Oryctolagus cuniculus: one gene and its partners. The protein of the gene in region 2 binds, or shares a complex with, the protein of the main gene of each other region. Links are inferred from orthologs where the notes say so. Each region holds a gene or a part of one and is shown on either strand. Other genes may lie near its edges. The genes, in order: CUL3, KLHL12, PLEKHA4 and PEF1.

What was found.
Region 1: KLHL12 (region 2) and CUL3 share a complex: the UniProt entries of both Homo sapiens proteins name them as parts of the BCR(KLHL12) E3 ubiquitin ligase complex. The link is inferred for Oryctolagus cuniculus from reciprocal best matches to the Homo sapiens genes KLHL12 and CUL3.
Region 3: the proteins of KLHL12 (region 2) and PLEKHA4 are in contact, whole or in part, in a crystal structure (PDB 8OIO), measured with the Homo sapiens proteins. The link is inferred for Oryctolagus cuniculus from reciprocal best matches to the Homo sapiens genes KLHL12 and PLEKHA4. Residues at the interface, in NP_067646.1 of Homo sapiens: Phe289, Arg320, Glu417, Tyr434, Ile439, Phe481, His486, Cys511, Tyr512, Tyr528, Leu533, Cys558; in NP_065955.2 of Homo sapiens: Pro177, Gly178, Gly179, Pro180.
Region 4: the proteins of KLHL12 (region 2) and PEF1 are in contact, whole or in part, in a crystal structure (PDB 8RBH), measured with the Homo sapiens proteins. The link is inferred for Oryctolagus cuniculus from reciprocal best matches to the Homo sapiens genes KLHL12 and PEF1. Residues at the interface, in NP_067646.1 of Homo sapiens: Phe289, Gln293, Arg320, Tyr321, Leu371, Glu417, Tyr434, Ile439, Phe481, His486, Cys511, Tyr512, Tyr528, Leu533, Cys558; in NP_036524.1 of Homo sapiens: Gly15, Gln16, Ala17, Pro18, Gly19, Ala20, Pro21, Pro22.

What each region holds. Positions count from the first base shown.
Region 1 is NC_091434.1:14,737,842-14,743,287, forward strand, and holds part of CUL3 (cullin-3), read left to right. Parts: intron 1-1,908; coding exon 1,909-2,095; intron 2,096-5,446. UniProt on the Homo sapiens protein: Core component of multiple cullin-RING-based BCR (BTB-CUL3-RBX1) E3 ubiquitin-protein ligase complexes which mediate the ubiquitination and subsequent proteasomal degradation of target proteins.
Region 2 is NC_091444.1:18,664,953-18,671,097, reverse strand, and holds the start of KLHL12 (kelch-like protein 12), read left to right. Parts: upstream 1-2,023; 5' UTR 2,024-2,079; coding exon 2,080-2,209; intron 2,210-3,484; coding exon 3,485-3,723; intron 3,724-6,145. UniProt on the Homo sapiens protein: Substrate-specific adapter of a BCR (BTB-CUL3-RBX1) E3 ubiquitin ligase complex that acts as a negative regulator of Wnt signaling pathway and ER-Golgi transport.
Region 3 is NC_091449.1:8,350,847-8,356,292, forward strand, and holds part of PLEKHA4 (pleckstrin homology domain-containing family A member 4), read left to right. Parts: intron 1-2,365; coding exon 2,366-2,413; intron 2,414-2,525; coding exon 2,526-2,606; intron 2,607-2,754; coding exon 2,755-2,904; intron 2,905-4,742; coding exon 4,743-4,841; intron 4,842-5,446. UniProt on the Homo sapiens protein: Binds specifically to phosphatidylinositol 3-phosphate (PtdIns3P), but not to other phosphoinositides.
Region 4 is NC_091438.1:140,789,751-140,795,196, forward strand, and holds the end of PEF1 (peflin), read left to right. Parts: intron 1-707; coding exon 708-863; intron 864-1,364; coding exon 1,365-1,508; intron 1,509-2,953; coding exon 2,954-3,183; 3' UTR 3,184-3,908; downstream 3,909-5,446. UniProt on the Homo sapiens protein: Calcium-binding protein that acts as an adapter that bridges unrelated proteins or stabilizes weak protein-protein complexes in response to calcium.

The DNA of each region.
Region 1 (5,446 bases), on a different chromosome or scaffold from region 2:
ACAAATAATAAAATAGGGTATTTTTGATAGCCTTGGTTTAAGAAGGCTCATTTTTAAAATTTCCCTGCCCTCCTCCCACCACAAAAAAAAAAAAAAAAAACCCACAAAGACTGACAGACTTAGCCATATAAAAATTCAGTAAAGCATCTGTGTTATCATAAATCATAGGAACTAGGAGAAACTATTTACAACATGTGTCAGAATTGGAAAACCATAACTTATAAAGAGCACCAATAAATCAATATTAAACCAATGATTGGATAGAAAAACATTCAAGGCATATTAAGTAGTCAAACAGCAGAAGAGGAGTTAAAGATGCCTTGCAAATATAAAAAGATAGGTTTTTCTCTCCTAGTGATCCTGAGAAGTTACAAATTAAAATGACACAGCATTTTTAGCTCAGTAAATAGGCAAAAGAAAAATATGGTGCTAAAGACAGGAGTGAGGGAATGGATATCATACATTGTTGTACGGGTTACATTTTTAAGCATTTAAAAGGCAGTTTGTTGGTATCCATCAAATACAAAATGTTTATGACTTGGAGAAAGCCAATATATTTCTATAGAAGTTTTCTTTAAAAAAATCTGGCAGTTGTGTTCAAAGACAGAAATGGGTATAGCAGGACAAAGTTGAATCCACTCTCAGTCTGTATCTGTATCATGATAGCAATGCTGTGGAATTCCATGTAGCTTTAATATCTATGCTAATGTGGAAAATCTGAAGAAATTAGTAGAAAAATCCCTATGTTATTATCTCATTTATGTACAACACTCATATTAGGTGTAAATAGGAGGGTGTGTTCATATACATAAATGTAAATGTGTGTATTTGTATTCATGTTTATATAGGTGAATAGGAAAAGGTATGGAAAGATATATAGTGAATTGCAGTAGTTACTTCTGAGAATTAGCTGTAATTACCAGAGAAATAGCCCCTAAGAAAGTATTTTTGGTTTTTTGAATGTAGTTAAACAATAACTGTAATATGTAAGTCACTTTTAACATGCATAATATATCCATTCTAATAATAGTGTTATTTTAATTTTCTGGTATTAAAATTGGCAGCACATTTAGGATCATTTGAAGGAAAGGAATGTATATAATCACTGAAATTGGATCTTGAACTTGAAAATAGAAATCTTTCTGATTTCCAGATTTTAAGATTTTTGTTTTCATTTGATTACACACAGGCAGTAAATACAGTCAACTTAGATTGTAACTATTTATGGAAGACTGATGGACTGTACTCCATTTCGCTGGTTTACTCCCCAAATGCCAGGGCCAAAGCTTGGAGCCAGGAACACAGTCCAGGGTCTCTCATGTGGATATTAAAATTCAGCTACATGAGCAGTCACCATTGCCTCTTGGGACCTGCACTGGCAGGAAGCATAAGACTGAAGCTGCTCCAGTGCTAGGAGCTAGGCTCAAGCCTATTCCTGTGATGTGAATTTTAATTGTATAATAGAAGAACTGCGATTAGGCTCACTTTACTCTCTTTCTAGGAAAGATGTTATTAAGTGAACAGGAGTATACCTCATCCTGGAAGGAAAATTATAAAATGTTTCTAAAATCAGTAGTTACATGTTGGTTAACACTTTATTTTTACCTAAACATTAAAGTAGGTTCTTGATAATCTCTACTGGATGACATATTTGGATGAGGCATTATATCTCTTGGAACAAAAAAGAACATGTTTTAATATTTTGTAATTTAAATCACCCTTTTTCAGTTTGTTTAAACAATGAGATTTTAATGATAAGTCATAATATTCAGGGAATTCTTGTTGTAAATTATTTCTTTAATAGAATTACCTTGCTCTAACCACTGCTTGGTCAATTTACTTGCTAATTAACTAATGTGCTCTTAATTTTCCAATAAGTCTAATTATGTCAATCTGATGAAATTTCAGGAAATTCAGCAAGAGACAGATATCCCTGAAAGAGAGCTTGTTAGAGCCCTACAGTCCCTCGCCTGTGGTAAACCAACACAGCGGGTTCTTACCAAAGAGCCCAAGTCAAAGGAAATAGAAAATGGTCACATATTTACAGTTAACGATCAGTTCACATCCAAACTACACAGAGTCAAGATTCAAACAGGTATCTGGAATTATATTTTTCCTCTTAAAAAGATTATATTTTTTTCTCTAGAAAACATTTTCATCTGTTTCTATTAAAAAATAACGCTTTTCTAGTGCCGTGTGATTCTTACGCATAAGAAATAAAGCAATTTTTATTGATAAATGCTTGTATCAGAATGTAATTGAATCCAAGTACAATAAGCATTTTGGAAAGTAATTCATAATATGAACAAGGTACTTCTTTCCTTGTTTTTCAGCAAATGAAATTTTGCAGACATGCTAATACTTAAATTATTTTTAACTTGTTAACTAATAGACACTGGAAGTCTATTTTTAAAGCCCACTTACCATTTTTCAAAATTTACCTATGTAAAATTTGGTCTTTTAAATACAACTGTTTATGTTTTGATAAACATTTAGGATTCAAAATCTTAAATTATATATTATCTTGAATTCTGAGACATAGAAATTACAGTTTTGAACAGCTTGTAGTATAGGCTTCTAAGTTCATAGTGAAAAATTGTATCGATTATATATTTAACATAACGCGAAGTGTGTATTATCTATTTATTTAAGGGGAAGAAAGTACCCTGCTTTTGGGGATATTTAAAAATCATGTAGTTTACTGTCTGGTTTCAAAATTACTATTTAGAGAAGCTTCCAAGTACTATTTCATCCATTACAGCTTATTTATCTGTGTAGTAAAATAGTATTTTAGAGTAAGCTAGGTAAGATCAGTTTTTAAAATACCTATAGTTTTCTGATTTAAAAATAGATATTTAGTGAAAGATTAGTGTTAAAAATATATGATTACCAGAATACATTGATTCAAGAACTTTTTGTACATATTTCATTTGTTTTCCTCCTTGATCTTTTTGATTTTTTTGTATATATGCTTTGTGAACCAGTGTGGAGTGTCTATTAAAGCCTGATCAGCTTGTCTCATAGTTGGGATCTGTATCATTGTAATCTCAGCAGCCCAGATTGGCCCAAGTCTTTGTGACACAGAAATATTAAACAATCTTTAAAGTATCATGGAATATAATTTCTTTTCTCCTCTAGTGCAAGGCCTTTAAGCTTACAGATTTGGGCAGATGCAGGTTTTGGATTGGGAATTTCAGTGCTCATTTGTATCCTAGATTTCACAAAAAATATATGGGTATATATATATCTGAATTACCTGTGTTCACCCTGCTTTGCCCTGGATAAGTATCTTTGTAATCCCTGATTGCATCATGTCCAGTAATGAGCAGTTATTGTGGAAAAATAATTTCTGAATTTTTAGTTTTTGGTGTTAAGTTGTATGCAGCACATGTTTGTGTATAGCATGTTAGGTGTGATTAAAATAGAAATTGGTTTTATATGATGAAGGATTTGACTAGATGAGCTCTTGAAAGTTCTTTTCAATGATAAAATTCTGCAAAGAAGTATATTTTTCATTTGAGGATGGTTTTAGATGATCTTGGCTCTGAGTCATATTTTTTTAAGTGAAAATTTTCTCTTTGGCAGTAAATATTGTGACCATGTTGGTGCGTTGGTTTTCTTAAATTGCCAAAGGCTCAGTAACATCAAAAACACAGACTCTGACCTTTCCCTTTTACGCTGCTTTTGCTGTAGCCAGCAGTAGCAGTTTTGTAAAGAAGTTAACAAAATTATTAACAATACTCAATATTTGAAAAGAATTAGATTCGTTTTAGTCTACAGCAGTTTCCAGTGGTGACAGTACTCTCCATCTCACCACTTGCCTGCTTAAACTCCTCTTGCCTCAGCATACATATAGCTATATTTGTAGGCCCTCAAACAAGCAAACCCCTCTGTTCTCGTTAAGTACAGAATGTTGTGTTGGACTCTGTGAGTGAGGCCCTGTGCTCACATTTTTCAAAGCCATCATATTTTAATGTATTATGACCAGTCTTCTCGTTTATCTTTTTTTATGCATATTTAAGGAGTACACCTATTTAGGTGACCAAAGCCAAAAAATTTCCCCAACATTTTTTTCTTAAGATTTTATTTGAAAGTCAGTTACAGAGAGAGAGGAAGAGACAGAGATTCTGTCCACTTGTTCACTCCCCAAATCGCCTTGACAGCAAGGGCTGGGCCAAGCCTGGACCTCCACCTGGGTCTCACATGTGAATGGTAGGGGTCCAAGCACTTGGCTGTCTTCCCTGCTTTCCCAAGCACATTAAATAAAATACTTATTTTAAAAAATACATATTTTCATACAAAAATTTTTAAAATCAATGCATAGGTTTTTTCATAATACACATTTTCTCTGAACTTTTTGAAGGCCACTTATATGTGTGAATTTCAGTTTTTCCTTGTACCAAGATAAACATCTTTGAATTCTATTTCCCACAAACTTTTTGGAGTACTCTTATGTACCAGCCATTGAAATTTTTCCATATATGCTTTCTCTTCCTCCCCCTGTGTATGTATGTCTTTGTGACAGCATTTGAAATTGATTCACAAACAACACTTTCCCTCTAAACTTCAGCAGATACTTCTTAGAATGAAATATTTCCCTACATCACTGTAATACTGCATTACATATTATCTCTGTACCTTATTTCTGTGTCCTCGGTTGTCTCAAAGATTCCTTTCATACCTTTTAGAATCTAGGATACTATCAAAGTTTCTACATTATTTCATTTTTATGTCTCTTTACTTCCATTTGAACTAGTATCTCTACTTTAACTTTTCACATGACCTCTTTTTTTTTTTTTTTTTTTAAGGAAAAGTATTATTATGCATAGGTTATTTTCATCCATTCTGTTTTGCTAAGACATTAGGTTTTGGTTTTTTTTGTTTTTTGTTTGTTTGTTTTTTTTACAGGCGGAGTTAGACAGTGAGAGAGACAGAAAGGTCTTCCTTTTCCATTGGTTCACCTCCCAATGGCCGCTGCAGCCAGCGCACCCCACTGATCTGAAGCCAGGAGCCAGGTTCTCCCTCCTGGTTTCCCATGCGGGTGCAGGGCCCAAACACTTGGGCCATCCTCCACTGCACTCCTGGGCCACAGCAGAGAGCTGGACAGGAAAAGGAGCAACCGAGACAGAATCTGGTGCCCCGACTGGGACTAGAACGCGGGGTGCTGGTGCCGCAGGTGGAGGATTAGCCCATTGAGCCGCGGCACTGGCCTGCTAGGATATTAATTAGTAATAACACTGGGAAATGATGCTGAAAGCAGTATTTTTTTACTGAAGGATTCTAATTAATTAGAAACAGCTGAATGGATATGCACACCATAATGATTTTCTGAACTGTAGAGTGTGCTGTCTCTTGCCTTGCCTTAGTTAGCAGTGTCCAAAGATCTTGTTTGTGATTTCCCAATTTCTACCCCCAGAAAATTCACGTTTCCTTTTAACGACCAAAT
Region 2 (6,145 bases):
GTCGGCTCAAGTATCGGAATGGCTGGAGGTATTCTTGTGTGGGAAGCATAGTGTCCCCATGAGTACACGTGCTGGGACCGTGCCCCTGAAGAACGGGGAAGCCTGAGTTAGAACCCCCCTGGGGTGATCTTTTTGCTAGCTGCACCTCTTTCAATCTCGGGTTAAACAGTGGGTATACTGGCAGGGGTGGGGCTCAGTCATTTAAGGGCCCCAAAGTCAAGTTCCCTCTCATATTTGGAAAAATTCCTAAGGTATCTGCCAGAAACTGGATAGTCTCACTAAAGGGATATTTTGCATCCAGAAAACAAGGAATTGTTTTTATTTAAATTGTACATATTTTAAGTCACATGATGCAAAGCTCAAAAGGCACAAAAAGAAACCTTTCTACCCTGTGTCATGATCAACCAGACCCTTCCCCCAAAAAAAACAATGTTACCATTTTGTTTTATACTTTGTTTCTTTTATACACATACGATCGAATATAATTGAATGTATCTTCTCACGTTTTGATACAAATAATAGCAAGACGACACCTGCTGCTCACAACAGCATGGTGCAGGGTTGAATGCACACCTTACTGAATCAGCCCTCCTAATGCACGTTGAGGGTTTTTCATCTACACACAACACTGCCGCATACAGTATACATGGCGGATACGTTGATAAACAATTGCGCAGCCAAAGGGTATCTGCATTCATACCTGTGATGACTTCCAAAACTCCGCAGAACTTGCCCCAGCCTTGCACTTCCAACCACAATGTGTAAACCAGGGAGTCTTCGGGTGGGAAGATTGCTTATGGAAGACAGAGACACCAAGCAAAGTAGCAGCCGCCCACCGTGCTGGGGTATCACCAACCTTAGGCATCAGAGGCCGCGCACAGGAAAGCAGTGTGGGCACTGACTTAGGTGGAACTGAGGAGCCCCGGCCCCTAACAATGCGTCCAAGTCAAGAAGAAGCAGAAGGCCTAGCCGCCCCCTCCCTGCACCCCCGGGGACGGCAGACAGGTCCGGCAGGGCTGCTCCGAGACCCTCGCAAGCCCCACTGTGACGCAGAGAACGCCCGAGGTCTCGGGGTTCTCGCCACAGCACTAGTCGGCGCGAGGCCGCCACTGTGGACCGTGGATTTTGAGACAGTTGCAGTGTCTCTGGGTTTCCTGGATGACAGGCAGTACCCGAATCCCTGGCAGGTAAAACGGAGCCCCTGCAGTCAGCGCCTTCGCCTAGAAGCCCTGGGAACGCTCCCCGTGGGGCCTGCCTCGTGGGCTGCGGGCAGAAAGAAACTCGGTTTCAGCGCATCACAGAGCTGGACGCCTGCGCGATCCCCTCCCCGGGCGCCCCCTCTCCTGCTGCTGGCCGAAGCCAGCCCCGGGCACATGCGGGTCAGGTGACGACGACGCCTCACGTGATGCCGACCCAGGGGAGGAGGGGGGCGGGCCTCGCTTGGCATTACGTCATCACGTCGCGCGGCCGCGGGGACCGGAGCCGGGACGCCCACGGTGACGGCCCCAGAGCCTCCGAGCGGGGGCGGCGGCGGCGCTCCGGCTCCTGCTGAGCCGCCTGCTCGCCCCGCTCCCCGCCCCGTCCCCAGGGACTGTGGCCGGGCTCGGCGCGGCCGCTGGGCCCGGGAGCCGAGGTGAGTGGACCGGAGGTGGCGGCAGGTAGCCCCTGCCTTCGTAAGGTGGTGGCCCTTCCCCCATTCCTGGGGCTCCCTCCGAGGAGGAAGGCGGGGGGGCTTCTGGCCTGCGGCACCCGGCGACCCGCGCCCCTCCGCTACCTCTGCCAGGCGGTGCCAGCCTAGCGCCCGGCGTGGTCCGCGGCGAAGACCTTCCTTCCTTCTCGGGAACTGACCCTTACCAGGAGTGGACACCCCGGCCCCGCCCCCAACCTGCCGTGGTGGAACCCCCGTGTTCAGGTGTGATCGGAGGTTCTAGAATAGGGCCCTTCCGAAAGGTAAGGGTGAGGCTGTGCTGAGGCTGCCTGGGGGGGCCGCTGTCCCCGCGCGAGGTCCTTCGGACCCTTGCATCCCAGGGTGGCCCTCGGTTGAGCGAAGGAAGACCTTTGTGCAGGACGCTCGCTCTGATGAATCACCGCCTGGTGTGCAAAGTGCCTGTGGCACAGTCGCTGGGTGGATCCTGTAGAGTGATGTGCGGACCATGGACAGAAGTAGATGAGTTTGGGGTCTTGTTTTTGCTCCTCAAACATCCTGACCGTGAGTTGCGAACTTTTTTTAATTTCTTGGATTATTTTTGAAAGTTTTGGATTCCCAGTAAGATGTACTCTCTTAATGACCACCCCCCATTTCACTCCCAGAAATTGTGCCTGAAGCCAAAGGAGAAAAAAAGGCTGTGAACTAGCACCTGTTCCTTAAGTTGCTGTTAGGTAGGGAATCACTGAGCTGATGCGCACAAGTGAACTTTGGGGCACAGCCGTCCCTTGGTGTCTGCAGCGCATTGGTGCCAGGAGCTGCCACAGATACCAGATAGGCTGGCACTCAGGTCTCCTGTAGAACGCTGTGTTTGCATGCAGCCTACCTAATGCATTGTAACTGCTGTGTAAGTGGTTTTGATACTCTGCTTAGGCAATAATGTCAAGGGAAAAACCGTGTGCATGTATAATACCCATGATTTTTTTTTCTCAAATAGTTCTATCTGCAGTTGGTTGACGGTGTGGGTGGGGAGCCATGGGACAGAGGGCTGACTTGTAACAGGCCACGGCAGCGATGGCGGTGAAGTTGGCAGTAGAGGGATTTTAGGTTTCTATCCTGACAAGTTCTCTGAGTATAGAAGAAGTGCTGTGAATATTGATGTGTTAGCATTGGTGGACGTTCCCAATCGTGTAGAACAGGAAGACTCCTACTGAGGAGTTTTGACGACTCTGGGGAGACCACAGATGGCTTGCGTGGTCTCTGCTATTCAAAGCAGGTCCCAGGTTGTCGTTTGAAATTTCACTTTCAGAAGAAATGTAATTATATTTGGAAATCCTGATGCATAATTCTTTGCATCTTGTATTTCTTTGGAAACCAGTTCATTTTCACCAATACTAGCCTTTCTTGTTCTAAGTTGAATACACTGTTTTTCTTATATTTAATTGTTAAATTTTAATTGTGTACCTGCTAGGGTCCATATGAACCAAGAACCCACCCTCTGAATACTTATTCTCTTATGAATATTAAATAGCCATGATGTCACACCTTTAAGGGATTTTACCTTTTTATCACTTGAGACAATCCCATGAAGATACATAGGCCTTTCTGTTTAGAATACAGTTGAGCACCGATTATAATAAATTGCAGGTGGCAGGGACACTCATGACAGAGGACTTGAGAGGAAGCAGGGCTGCTCCTTAAGCTAGAAGAGTTAGCGGCCAGATGGCGGTGAGCCCAGAGAGCGCAGGGGCTGTCCCTGTGGGCGTCTGTGCCTGCAGAGGTCTCAGCCCCCGTCTGGGAAGCTGATGGCCTGTGTGCCTCTGTTGCCTTCTCTTGCAGTTCCAGGACCCAGGGCCCCCTCTGTTCTTTCTCCATATTGCTTGATGGGAGGCAGGATGGCCCCCAAAGACATAATGACCAACACGCATGCTAAATCCATCCTCAACTCGATGAACGCCCTCAGGAAGAGCAGCACCCTCTGCGACGTGACGCTGAGAGTGGAGCAGAAAGACTTCCCCGCCCACCGGATCGTGCTGGCTGCCTGCAGCGACTACTTCTGCGCCATGTTCACCAGCGAGGTAAGCAGGCCGCACCCGTGCAGCCCATGCCTGTAAGCGCCTCGCCTCGCCTCACCGAGGAAGACAACCCAAGCTTCATATGGTAGTGGAGTCTTGTAAGACGCTGTGTAAGCAGGCAGGCTTATTCACAGTGAGATCCGCACATGCCTGTGCCTTCGTTTTCTCACCTCTGAGTTAGAGATAATAGTGCTGCCCAGTGCGTCACGCAAGGCTGTGGCGAAGACAGAAAATTACGTGTCAAGTGCTTAGGACAGCTTAGTGGGTAATGAGACGTTATTGACTTTGTGTTGGTTTGTTTTTAGAGATTGACTTATTTATTTATTTGAAAGTCAGAGTTACACGGAGAGAGGAGGAAAGGCAGAGGCAAAGAGAGAGGTCCTCCATCCGCTGGTTCACTCCCCAGATGGCCACAATGGCCGGAGCTGCACCCGATCCGAAGCTGATAGCTTCTCCCGGGTCTCCCACGTGGGTGCAGGGGCCCAAGGACTTGGGCCATCTTCCACTGCTTTCCTGGGCCACAGCAGAGAGCTGGATGGAAAGTGGAGCACTGGTGCCTGGATGGGATGTCAGCACTGCAGGCGGTGGCTTTACCTGCTACGCCACAGCACTGGCCCCCAGCTATAAAATTTGCCTTCACATTTTTCTAAGCTTTAATTTTTTTTTTAATTATTTGAGAGGCAAAGTTACAGAGAGAGAGAGAGGGAGAGACAGAGAGAGGTTTTCCATCTGCTGTTTCACTCCCCAAACTTGACCACAACTGCTGGAGCTGGGCCGATCTGAAGCAAGTAGCTTCTTCCAGGTCTCCCTTGTGGATGCAGGGACCCCAGCACTTGGGCCATCTTCTACTGCCTTCCCAGACCACTAGGAGGAGCTGGACTGGAAGTGGAGCAGCTGGGATTCCAAACCAGCATCCATATGGGATGCTGGCACTGCAGGTGGAGGCCTAACTTACTATGCCACAGCTCGGGCCCCTCCCCAAACAATTTTTGACTACTATGCCTCCCCAGCTTCTGATATATGTTTATAATCTATTTTCATTTATTTTTAAATGTTTATTTTTATCTACATGAAAGGTAGAGCAACAGAGAGGGGGAGAGAAGGAGAAAGAGAACCATCCACTGGTTCATTCCCCAAATGCCTGCAACAGTCAAAGCCAGAAGCCAGAAACTCCCCCTTGGTCCTCCTGCGTGGGTGGCATGAACCCGAGGACTTGGGTCATCATCTGCTGCCTTCCGAGGCTGGTTAGCAGGCAGCTGGTCAGAGCAGAGCACCGGGACCTGATACAGGATGACATGGCAGGCAGTGGCTCAGCCTGTGGCCCCACGGCACCGTCCCCTGTAATCTAATTTTAAAGCCAGTGCAGTTAATGATGCTGTGAACCAGCACTCAGTCACACTGCTGGTAGGAAACACGCAGAAACCTAACAGGTCATTCCAGCTCCTCCAGGCTGATGTTAAAATGACCTCGTGTAATGCAGCGTTATAGGTCACCATGCTGTACGGTTCTGGGTGATCCCTGCCCGAGAGCATCAGAAGCCGGGCCCTTTCTCGGGGAGGAGAGTGTCACCCAGCAGCCGCAGCCCATGAAATGCATCCAGGCTGCTGGCTGCTAATTGCATGTTGTGCTTCCTGTTTGGTGTCAGCTTGAAGAAAACCTGTCTGCACTCTTTTAACCCATTCAGAAATTAGTATAGAGTTCCATATAAATTTTTTTTTTCCTCATTCTTTCTTTAAAAACTGGCATCTGGCAAGAAAATGCCAGATGATTTTGTCTTTACTTTTAAGAGTAATTGGTTTAAGGGAAAGAGTCCCAAGACCCACTTGGTCCTTTTTTTTTTTTTATAAAGATTTATTTTATTTATTTGAAAGACAATCACAGAGAGAGGTAGAGACAGAGAGAGAGGTCTTCCATCGCTGATTCACTCCTTAGATGGCTGCAACGGCCGGAGCTGTGCGGATCCGAAGCCAGGAGCCAGGAGCTTCTTCCGGGTCCCCACACAGGTGCAGGGGCCCAAGCACTTGGGCCATCTTCTACCGCTTTCCCAGGCCGTAGCAGAGAGCTGGATTGGAGAGGAGCGGCCAGGATTAGAACCAGCGTCCATGTGGGATGCCGGTGCTTTAGGCCAGGGTTTTAACCCACTGCACCACAGCGCCGGCCCCAAGGCCCACTTAGTTCTCTTAGCAATTATGTATTACCCTGGCAACCGTCTGACTTCACTGGGTTGATCTGTAAAATAGGTGGCTGGACTAGATGGTTTCCCTGTTCTCTTCCAGCCCTGCCGTCTCCTCAGTCTCCTGTCAGTCAGAAGATCACAGACAGGCCAGGGTACCTGAGTTTTATCTGTCGCTTTTAGTTAAGTGGCCCTGGTCAAGTCACATAACTTCTTTGAACCTTAGATCCTTTATGTCATAAGTGGAAATAA
Region 3 (5,446 bases), on a different chromosome or scaffold from region 2:
GTGGGGGATGGCCCAGGTGCTTGGGCCCTGCACCCCATGGGAGACCAGGATAAGTACCTGGCTCCTGCCATCGGATCAGCGCGGTGCGCCGGCCATGGCGGCCATTGGAGGGTGAATCAATGGCAAAGGAAGACCTTTCTCTCTGTCTCTCTCACTGTCTACTCTGCCTGTGAAAAAACAAACAAACAAGGCATGGACTATCTTTTCATTCATTCAGGTCATCTCCTAGGTCTGTTTTTTCAAGTTTTCGATTTTTTTCCCCCATAGAGATCTTGTATATTCAGGTATAGCAACTCCTATACCTGAATTCCTGTTGTGTGTGTGTGTGTGTGTGTGTGTGTAGAAAAATACGAAACATAAAATGTACCATATCAATACCTTTTTAAAAATTAAAAAAGAAATTCTAAATCTGTTTCTTTGAGAGGCAGAAGGAAATCTCCCATCCACTGGTTCACTTCCCAAACGCCCGCATGGCTGCAGTTGGGCCAGGAGCCGGGAACTGAATCCAGGTCTCCCGTGTGGGCAGCAGGGACCCCATTGTCTGAGCCGTCACTGCGGCCTCCCAGGGTCTGCATGAGCGGGAAGCTGTGGCCAGGAGCCGAGGCTGAGGACCCAACCCAACCCAACCCAGGCGCTCCCATGGGGGACGTGAGCGCCTTAACCAGTCTCTTCTCCACTTCTAAGTGTGCAGTTCAGTTACGTGTGCTAAACACAATACAGTCAAATGAAACAGATCTCTAGAACTTGTCTATCTTGGGGCTGGTTCTGTGGCGTAGCAGGTAAAGCCGCCGCCTGCCGTGCTGGCATCCCATATGGGCGCTGGTTTGAGTCCCAGCCGCTCCACTTCTGATCCAGCTCTCTGCCTGGCCTGGGAAAGCAGTAGAAGATGGCCCAAGTCCCTGGGCCCCTGCACCCATGCGGGAGACCTGAAAGACACTCCTGGCTCCTGGCTTCAGATCGGCGCAGCTCCAGCCGTGGCAGCCATATGGAGAGTGAATCAGCGGATGGAAAACTCTCTCTGCCTCTGCCTCTCTGTAACTCTGCTTTTCAAATAAAAATAAATAAATCTTAAAATAAATTTTAAAAAGCACATGTCCATCTTGTACAACCCTGTTCCTTTTGAACAGCTCACTGTTCCCTCCCACAGCCTCTGGAACCCACTGCCCTGCTGTGTGTGTCAGTCGGTTTAGCTGTGTGCATCTGTCAGTTTAGCTGTGTGCGTCAGTCAGTTTAGCTGTGTGCATCTGTCAGTTTAGCTGTGTGCGTCAGTCGGTTTAGCTGTGTGCATCTATTGGGTTAGCTGTGTGCATCTGTTGTTTAGCTGTGTGCGTCAGTCAGTTTAGCTGTGTGCATCAGTCGGTTTAGCTGTGTGCGTCAGTCGGTTTAGCTGTGTGCGTCAGTTGGTCTAGCTGTGTGCATCTGTCGGTTTAGCTGTGTGCGTCAGTCGGTCTAGCTGTGTACATCTGTCGGTCTAGCTGTGTGCATCTGTCGGTTTAGCTGTGTGCATCTGTCGGTCTAGCTGTGTGCGTCAGTCGGTTTAGCTGTGTGCGTCAGTCGGTCTAGCTGTGTGCATCAGTCGGTCTAGCTGTGTGCATCTGTCGGTTTAGCTGCAGACTCCTCATGGGAATAGAACCCCGTGGAACTGGACTTTGGGGACTGGCTGATTTCATGGAGCCCGGTGTCTTCAAGGCTCTTCTCTGTTTGTGCAGCGGGACTCGCTTTCTGTACGGCCTGAGTGGTGTTTGCGTGGATCGATCACACTTCATCTGTTCACACGTCATGATCGGAGAGTTTGGGTCTGCTCTTTGGCTATTATGTGCAGTGCCGCGACAGACTGGGTGTGCCAAGATCTCTTCAACACCCTGCTTTCCATGCTTTTGGAGATGAGCCTTCCTGGTGGTTTTAAAGCCACTCGAATGGGGTCTTACGTTCTCATTGTGTTTCCCAGTTCTTAATGCTGTACAGCAGTGCCCTTCGTTTACGTGCCGTCCCCTTGCATCTGGGTCTCTGCCGAATCCACTCATTCGCTCTTGGATTCTGTTGCTTCTTTGGGGTGGAGGAACGTGCGACCTGTAAACATTGATGGCTTCACCGATCCCCCTCCTCTCCTTAGACCTTCCCGTTTCCCCTCTTTATAGCACTGGTCAGGGTCTCCGGTGCCACGTTACACCGTAGTGGCCACAGTCAGCTAAAGTTTCCCCATGGATTCTGCCGTTTGCTGTCGCTGTTTGATCCCATTGAATGTTCCGAAGCTGACGCTCAGAGGGGCGCTAACAAGCAGAGGGGGATAAAACGGGCAGGGCTCAGTGAGCTACGGTGGGGACCTGTGTGCACCCTTTGACCTTTGACTTCTCCCCCTCTTCAGCCAGGTCCCCCCTTGGACTCAGCCTTCCACCAAAATTTGGAGACAGATGTAAGTTCTCCCGAATCTAACCCCTGCTGCTCTCCGACCAGGGGAGGGAGTGTTCCGGATGGTGGTAGGGGGCGGGGGGTGCGTGCATAAGTAGCTCCTGTTCTTCCTCCAGACTCTGCTGACCAAGCTGTGTGGGCAGGACCGGCTCCTCAGGAGGCTGCAGGAGGACCTGGACCAGAAGCAGGAGGAGAAGGTGCCGGAGGGCCCCAGCCCCTCCCCTGCCCTTAGCCCTCCCTGACTGTCGGGTCCGGATGCTGGGTGGATGGCAAGGTGGGGGATGCTTGCCCTCTCCTGTGGCCGGGGGTGGCCTCGGAAGCCTGACCACCTCCCTGTCGCTGCAGGAACAGCTGGAAGCAGCCCTGGAGTTGACCCGGCAGCAGCTGAGCCAGGCAACCAGAGAGGCTGGGGCTCCCGGGAGGGCCTGGGGGCGCCAGCGCCTCCTGCAGGACCGACTGGTCAGCGTGAGGGCCACCCTCTGTCACCTGACTCAGGTGAGCCCCGGGGAAGGGGGAGGCCCTCCCAGGGGGTCCTTGGGGGGCACATCCATGGACTCACGGGAGCGTTCCTCAGAATTCCAGCCTCTTAAACTCTAAACCAGGAACCGGGGCCATCCCAGGGCACGGGAGACAAGCGTAAGGTCCACAACTTAAGTCAGCACTTTCAGAGGGTGATTTCATTTTTTAACTTTTTAAATTTATTTTTAAAGATTTTATTTATTTTGAAAGATTATTTATTTGAAAGGCAGTGTGAAAGACAGAGATTCTGTGTGCTAGTTCATGGCTAAAATGGTCACAACAGCCCAGCCGAAGCCAGCAGCGTGGAACTCTGTGGAAGTCTCCCACATGGGTGCAGGGCCCAAGTACTTGGCCATCGTCCGCTGCTTTCCCAGGTGCGTTAGCAGGGAGCTGGACCAGAAGTGGAGCAGCCGGGATTCCAACCGATGCTGGCATGTCAGGCAGCATCTTAATCCATTATACCGCCACATCGGCCCCTAGTTTTTAAATTGTTTTGAAGATTTACTTATTTGTTTGAGGGCGATGGAGAAAGGTCTTCCATTTTTCCATCTGCTGATTCACTCCCCACGTGGCTACGACAGCCAGCACTGGGCCAGGCGGAGGCCAGGAGCAAGGACGTCCATTCTGGTCGCACACTTGGGTGGCACGGGCCCACTGCTGCCTTCCCAGGTGCTTTACAGGGTGGCCGGGACTTTAGCCGGCGCCCGGGCTCAGGCAGCAGCTGACCCTGCCACATCACACACTGGCGCCCCTAAGAGGGTGATGTTAACGTGGGCTTCCTGGATCCGAATCTCGACTCCCACTCCTAGTAGCTGTGTGACCTTGAGAAGAGTCACTTAACCTTTCTGGGCCTTAGGTGCCTCCTAAAAATAGTATTTACTTTGTAACGTCACTGTGAAGATTGCACGTGTGTGTGTAAATGAATGACTAAACCAGTGAAGGACCCATGACTTGGCTATAATTATGACATATGCATGATGTAGACAGATGCTTACATGGTGAGATTATTGTTTACGTGTCTGTAAGGCGGAGACAATCACAGACCCCTCCTCACGAGAATTAAGCGGGTGTGTAAGCTGCTGTTGTGACGGTCAGTGGTGTGGCGAGGAGGTTTGTGCTGCCCAGAGGTGTGTGGCTGCCGTGGCACTGGTGTCAGCTGTGTAGACTCTGCCCCCGTGGAGTAGCTGTGATGTCAGCTGTGTAGACTCTGCCCCTGTGGAGTAGCTGTGACATCAGCTGTGTAGACTCTGCCCCTGTGGAGTAGCTGTGACGTCAGCTGTGTAGACTCTGCCCCCCCCATGGAGTAGCTGTGACGTCAGCTGTGTAGACTCTGCCCCCGTGGAGTAGCTGTGACGTCAGCTGTGTAGACTCTGCCCCCGTGGAGTAGCTGTGACGTCAGCTGTGTAGACTCTGCCCCCGTGGAGTAGCTGTGATGTCAGCTGTATAGACTCCACCCCCATGGAGTAGCTGTGACATCAGCTGTGTAGACTCTGCCCCCGCCATGGAGTAGCTGTGACATCAGCTGTGTAGACTCTGCCCCACCCTGTGGAGTAGCTGTGACATCAGCTGTGTAGACTCCGCCCCCGTGGAGCAGAAGTAACCCTGGGATTCCGGGAACGCTGTTCTTGGTCCACACCAGCAGCTCACTGGAACTGCAGGTTCTACCAGGTGCTGGAGCCCCACCTGGGGATTATTGTCTGTGTATCCCAGGGCACGGGAAGCAGGCTCCCTCCCTTCTTGTCAGCCGTGGAAAGGTGGGGTGGGGATGGTGGAGTGAGTGCTGACCTCGTGTCTCCTGTGTTCTGGAACCTGAGGAGCGGGAGCGGGTCTGGGACATCTATAGCGGCCTGGAACAGGAGCTGGGCACCTTACGGGAGACGCTGGAGTACCTGCTTCACCTCGGGTCACCCCAGGTACCTCCCTGCTGCGGAGCCTCCGGCCCTCTGTCCACTCTAAGTTCCCCTGGAAGCCTTCTTGTCCTTGGGGTGGGGGTGGGGGCTCCTGCTGTCTGTCCTTTCCTCCTGAGGCGCTTGGTTTGCAGACCGACTTTGAGATTCAGAGCCACTCTCCCCTGGTTCTACTCACGGCGCAGCCTCCTCTCCGTATGCAAATTCAGCTTTTGAGTCAGCACCCTGCCTTCACTGTTGCTTCTGTCCTCTGCAGCCTCAAGTTCTAGGCCCAATCCTGAGTTCAAGCCCCACTCCTAACATATAAGCCCAGTGCTCAGCCTCAGTCCCACTCCTCCTAAGCACAGCCGTGGCATTCTACATCGCGTGTGTGTAGTTGAAAACATTACCCTCTAGTTAAATCTGTGAAGTGCCTCTTCCCAGATTTAAGCCCCACTGTCTTCACCGTGAGCCCCTCCTACTTCATCCTAAAATCCACCCCATGACTCCAGTCCACTGCCTACTGGACTTAAATACATCTTGGCACCAACAACACATAAAAAGAACAATGGGTAACACCCAAATTGGGTTTATTACAGGAATGCAAGGTTAGTTTAACATTTGAAAACCAG
Region 4 (5,446 bases), on a different chromosome or scaffold from region 2:
CCTAGTATCACACAAGCTGGTAAAGGTCAGAGGCAGGATTTGAATCCAGGTCTGCTTCAGTTCCAAAGCCTGAGCTCTTCTCCACACACCACACAGACCGCCCATGGTACAGAGAGTCTCCTGCCTGGGGCTGTGGCCCTTGTTCCCCCGCCCCCACCACACTGCTGTTTCTGGAGGGTGGCGGGGCCCTGCCTGGATTTCCCATCCTGGCAGGTCAGACCAGGCCTCAGGCAGGCCAGTCTTTTCCCTCACCTTTGGCGCTGACCGACTCTGCTCGGCTGTCCCTGGCCATCTCTGATGGTTTCTTGTGTGAAGGAGCTTCCGGTGTGGCCAGTAAGCTCTGTGGTTTACCACTACTGCGTAACTTGGGCCTTTTCCTCGGATAGACTTCTCTGCTTCTTTATTGTCACCCACCACCCTTCCCCTGTCCCTTAGCCCTCCTCCAGAGAACCCTTGATGTGCTGGAGGGGCTGGGCTAGGCCCTGTCCCTTAGAAACACAAACTTGCATAGAGAAGTGACCGCACGGAAGTCCGAGGGAGCCCTGGTATAGACATCAGCTGCAGGTACAAGAGAGTCTACGTGGGAGGCTGTCAACTTGATGAGAGGTGGGACAGGTAGATTTGTGAGGCTTTGTGGGTAAGAAAAACCTGTTGCCAGGGAGGCCCTTTCGTGTGGGGATTCCCTTGGTGTATGTCCCTTCCTCTAGGTGGCGCCCCTCCCGGTGTAGATCCTGAGGCCTACTCCTGGTTCCAGTCGGTGGACTCTGATCACAGTGGTTACATTTCCATCAAGGAGCTAAAGCAGGCTCTGGTCAACTCCAACTGGTCTTCATTCAATGATGAGACATGCCTCATGATGATAAGTGAGTCCCAGACCTACCCTGTGGGCGTGCACTGGGCCAAAGCCACCTGGGGGTTGACAGTAGGTGGGGAGGTAGACATGTAGGACACAGCGTTTTGGTCAAGGAGGATTTCCAGGAGGAAGCTGAGTTCAAGGTGAGATCCTTTAGATCGAGACTCTTGGATCTTTCTCAGGTTGACCCTGCTGTGTTAGAGGTGGCTCAGTGTTCTGTTCTGTAGAATGGGACTCCTTCCTCTGGTAGGAAACGGCAGGGAAGGTTCACCATGGACTCAACTGCCAAGCCTGTGAAGGAAGTGCAGTTCTGGGTGGGGTGGGGCTGGGGGCGTCCAGGGGAGGAAGCTGATGCAACACACTCGATACAGATGTCTTGGGTGCAGGCACTGGGCCTCTGGCCTGTGGTTCTGTGGAGTGTCACGCACCAGCCTGGGACAAGGGCTGTGGCCGTGGCTCCTAGAAGCCTTGGCCCCAAGTCTTGCAGCCTTCCTGCCTTCCCCTCCTTCAGACATGTTTGACAAGACCAAGTCAGGCCGCATCGACGTCTACGGGTTCTCAGCCCTGTGGAAGTTCATCCAGCAGTGGAAGAACCTCTTCCAGCAGTATGACCGGGACCACTCGGGCTCCATCAGCTACACGGAGCTGCAGCAAGGTGAGGACCACGCGGGGCACGGCGGGCAGAACAAGGGCTGTCCCTGTCACTCCCAGAGGCCCACCAGTGCAGGCCCACTGCTCCCACCCTTGCTGTGACCCAGCTGTGGCACTGAGCCCAGGCCAGGGCAGGGAAACGCCTGGGTCCAGAGTTAGCCCTGGACTCCCTGACTAAGTCTCCTGGCAGCATGAGGTGAGAGCCCCAACCGCAGGGAGCCTCGGGATGGGAACTCGACAGCCGGGGCACCAGACCAGTGTGTGTGGCTGGGGCGGCTCCTTCCCCTCTAGTGTGTGGCATACAGACTGCAGAATGGAAGGAGCCCTGTACAGAAACAGGTTCTGTTGTCACCTCTGCCAGACACCAGGTGGGTAAGATGACCTGAGGCCACAGCTCCCATCTGGTTCCAGTCTGACGGTAGGGTTCAGGCCAGTGGGTGAGAGGACAGGTGGCTAATGGAGTTGTAAGAAACCAGCAGGGAGCTTTGCCGCTTGGGAGGGGGGCAGAGCCGCCAGAGAGTCCAGTCTCTTGTCCGGGCTCTCTGGGTGGAGGTGAGCGCTCGGCATCTGTGCCTGGTCGGGGTGGGGTGGGATTTTGTCAGTTGCTGTAAAGGATATTGGTAAGGGTGAAACTAACAACCACTGCTGTCTGTGGAATGCTTGCTGTGTCTCGGACAAGCACTGTAGTAGCCTTTGCGCAGGTTTGTGTCATTCATGCCCATGTGTTAGCTATGGCTGATGCTTACTGTTCATGCCCTGTGGTGAAGGTCCCTTAGACCTCTGTTCTACACCTGGGAAGACCAAGGCCTAGAGTAGGAACCTCGCCAAAGGGCCCCCAGAGCAAATGGAGAACTGAGATTTGAACCTGGGTGGAGGGGAGGGAAGGCAGCGCCCCAGTGGAGGGTGGGGAGCACCCAGCAGCCTCTTCTGGGCAGATGGGGAGACTTTATTAGGATAGCAGTCACTGAGTGCCAGGCTCTGTGCTACTTGTTTTAATGATCGCCTCCTCTAATCCTCACCAGAAGCTGCAGACTCAGCGTCATCCACACTTTAGAATAAGAAAGGATATTGCGGCTAAGCAGCTTGCCCAGGGACTGACTCCGAGCTGGCCCTCGGCCCTCGGGCCCTCTGGGCTGGGCCAGCCGCCTTGATGTCAGCCGTAGCTGGGGTGGTCCTTGGGGCTCAGGCCTCCTTTTGTAATGCGGATGAGTCAGATGACAGTGGAGAGAACCTTGTCTGGACTTGTGAGCCAGATCACAGAGACTTGGAGAAAGGGGGAGGGGCCTTGCAGGTAGAGCCCCGGTTGTGCTCCCCTTGTGCAGACCCTCGGGACTCTCCTGTCCTCTTCACGCTCCTGTGTCGGTCCCCTCCGTGTTCTCTGAGCTGCGGCTGCTCTGGGCAGGGGCTCACAGCAGGTTTCTGTGTGTTCTGTGTGCCCTTCTTCTCCAGCTCTGTCCCAGATGGGCTACAACCTGAGCCCCCAGTTCACCCAGCTTCTGGTCTCCCGCTACTGCCCGCGTTCTGCCAGTCCTGCCATGCAGCTCGACCGCTTCATCCAGGTGTGCACTCAGCTGCAGGTGCTGACTGAGGCCTTCCGGGAGAAGGACACCGCCGTACAGGGCAACATTCGGCTCAGCTTTGAGGACTTCGTTACCATGACAGCCTCTCGGATGCTATGACCCAGCCCACCTGTGGTGTGGAGTGCGCCAGGGGCCTCTCCCAGCTCCCTAGAGTGGGAGAAGCATGTGGGCCTCTCTTCTTTTCCTGCCTCTCCTAGAAAAAGATTCTCCTTTGCTTGACACAGCCCTCAGAGGGGTAGGAGTCTTGTGTCACAGCCACCAAATAGTGGGGACTTAGTTTGAGGCCACACAGATGGGGGACCTGACGTAGGAGAGAATGAGGTTGGAAGTCCTGACAACCCTGAGCAGTTAGTGGCACAGCCTGGCACCAGGAGCAGGTGCTCCAGTCATTACCGTGGAGTTCGTGTGGCCTGCTGGCCTCTGCCTCCGGCTTTCCCATCTACGCCCTGAGGCTCACCGTCTTAGCATTAGCACCTGTGTTCCTTCCCCCAGACTGTCCTATTGGATGAGCCCAGTTTGGCCAAAGTGGAGTTGATCAGGCACGGGAGAGATTTGCCCAGGGGACCAGTGGCTTGCCTTGTCCCATACCCACAAGTCCTTGTGAGTTACCTCTCTCTGCCTGGGGCAGTCAAGGCTCAGGGAGCTCGCAGTCTGCTCTCTGGGCATCTTGGACCCCTCATTCCCTGCCAGGCTCTGCTCAGCTTTCGTCCCCAGGGGACAGTTGTCACCTCTCACTGCCAATGCTTTTTTTTAATTTCTAGTTTTTTCATTTGGGGCCAAAAGTCCAGTGAAACTGTAAGCTTCAATAAAAGGATGAAACTCAAGTTCCACATTGTCCGCCATGACTTCCCAGCTACACTTGCCCATTCATTCACTGATTTGTTCTTTCATTCCATGAATACGTAAGATACAAGCCTTGCAGAACACGGCGGGGGCGGGGCGGGCATGGCCTCCATGGGCTGTTCTCACTGGCCAGCGTGAAGCTGCACTGTGGGGCAGCCAGGTTCAGCTCAGGATGGCTTGGAGATTAACTCAAATTGACTGTCAAGTTACAGTTTTTGGGCTGGAAACAGCCACCCCAAACTTGGCACAACATGGCTTTTTTATCTCCGGCCTTAGTTTTATCTTTCAGACAAACTCCGCTTATGAAGTCATAACTTTTCCCCCATTTTTATTAAGCACAGACATCTGTACCTGCCTGTCAGATCCCTAGATCAGCATGATACCCAGTCTCCACTGAGTGTCTATGGCGAGCTGATAAAATGTCAGTCAAAAGCTTTGCCAGGGGGGCCTTATCGCGGGTGATGGTGTGATTATCCCTTGGCTCTTTGAGATGAAGATAAGAGCTCTGCGTCCTAAGCAGGGCTCTCCCTGCAGTGCGTGGCTGGGGAAGTGGCTGAGACTGTTCCGCAGGTCAGTGAGGCCCAGCAAGCAAGTCGGGCTTGGCCATGCAGCCCCCTTCGCTCTGGGCTGCTGACATGCGAGAATCCAGTCAGATGGAATGCAGCTCCCAGGGCCATCCCCATCCAGAGCTGGAAGCCCCTGCAGGGCCCCTGTGAGTCCGCACTCTGTTAGGCAACCTCCAGTGACAGAACTCAGTGCTGGGGTGGGCGTTTGGCACAGTGGTTAAGATGCCTCACGGGATGCCCACGTCCCATATCAGAGTGCCTGGATTCAAGTCCTGGCTCCACTTCGATTCCAGCTTCCCACTAACACACACCCTAGGAGGCAGCAGGTGATGGCTCAAGTATATGGTCCCTGCCACCCGCCTAGGAAACCCAGACTGAGTTCTGAGCTCCTGGCATCAGCCTGGCTGAGCCCCAGCTGTTGGAGGCCTTTGGGGAGTGAACCAGTGGATGGAAGTTCCCTATCTTCTGTCTCTCTGCCTTTCACATGAAAATAAGAAATATCTATCAAGAAGCCACACTCGGGCCCTTTCCAGGTGCCCATTTCCTCCCTCACTGACAGGGATCTCCTGACAGTTGTAAATCCTGCCGCCTTGAAAACACTGCCTTTGGCTCAGGTTCGCTCCCGAGCTGCGGGGACTCCCCTCACCGTTTCTGCATGCCATCCATGTGTCTGTCAGGCATGGGGCTGGCCTCCACGTCTGCCCCTGGGCTCTTCGGCACAGCAGCTCCTCGCTGAGCGTCACTCCCCTGCATTTTCTCCAGTTCATCAGACACCTGAGGCCCACGGAGGTGCTGCGCTCAGCTTACAGCGGAGCAGAGCTGTAGCCGTTAGAGGAAGCTGTTGTCGCCTGTTCCCATGGGGCCAGGGTGCACCAGTGTCCATCTGAGAAGGAGGCCAACCATTGTCCTTTGCTTGTTCCTCAGCTGGGCTCAGGATCCCAGGGACCTTGGTT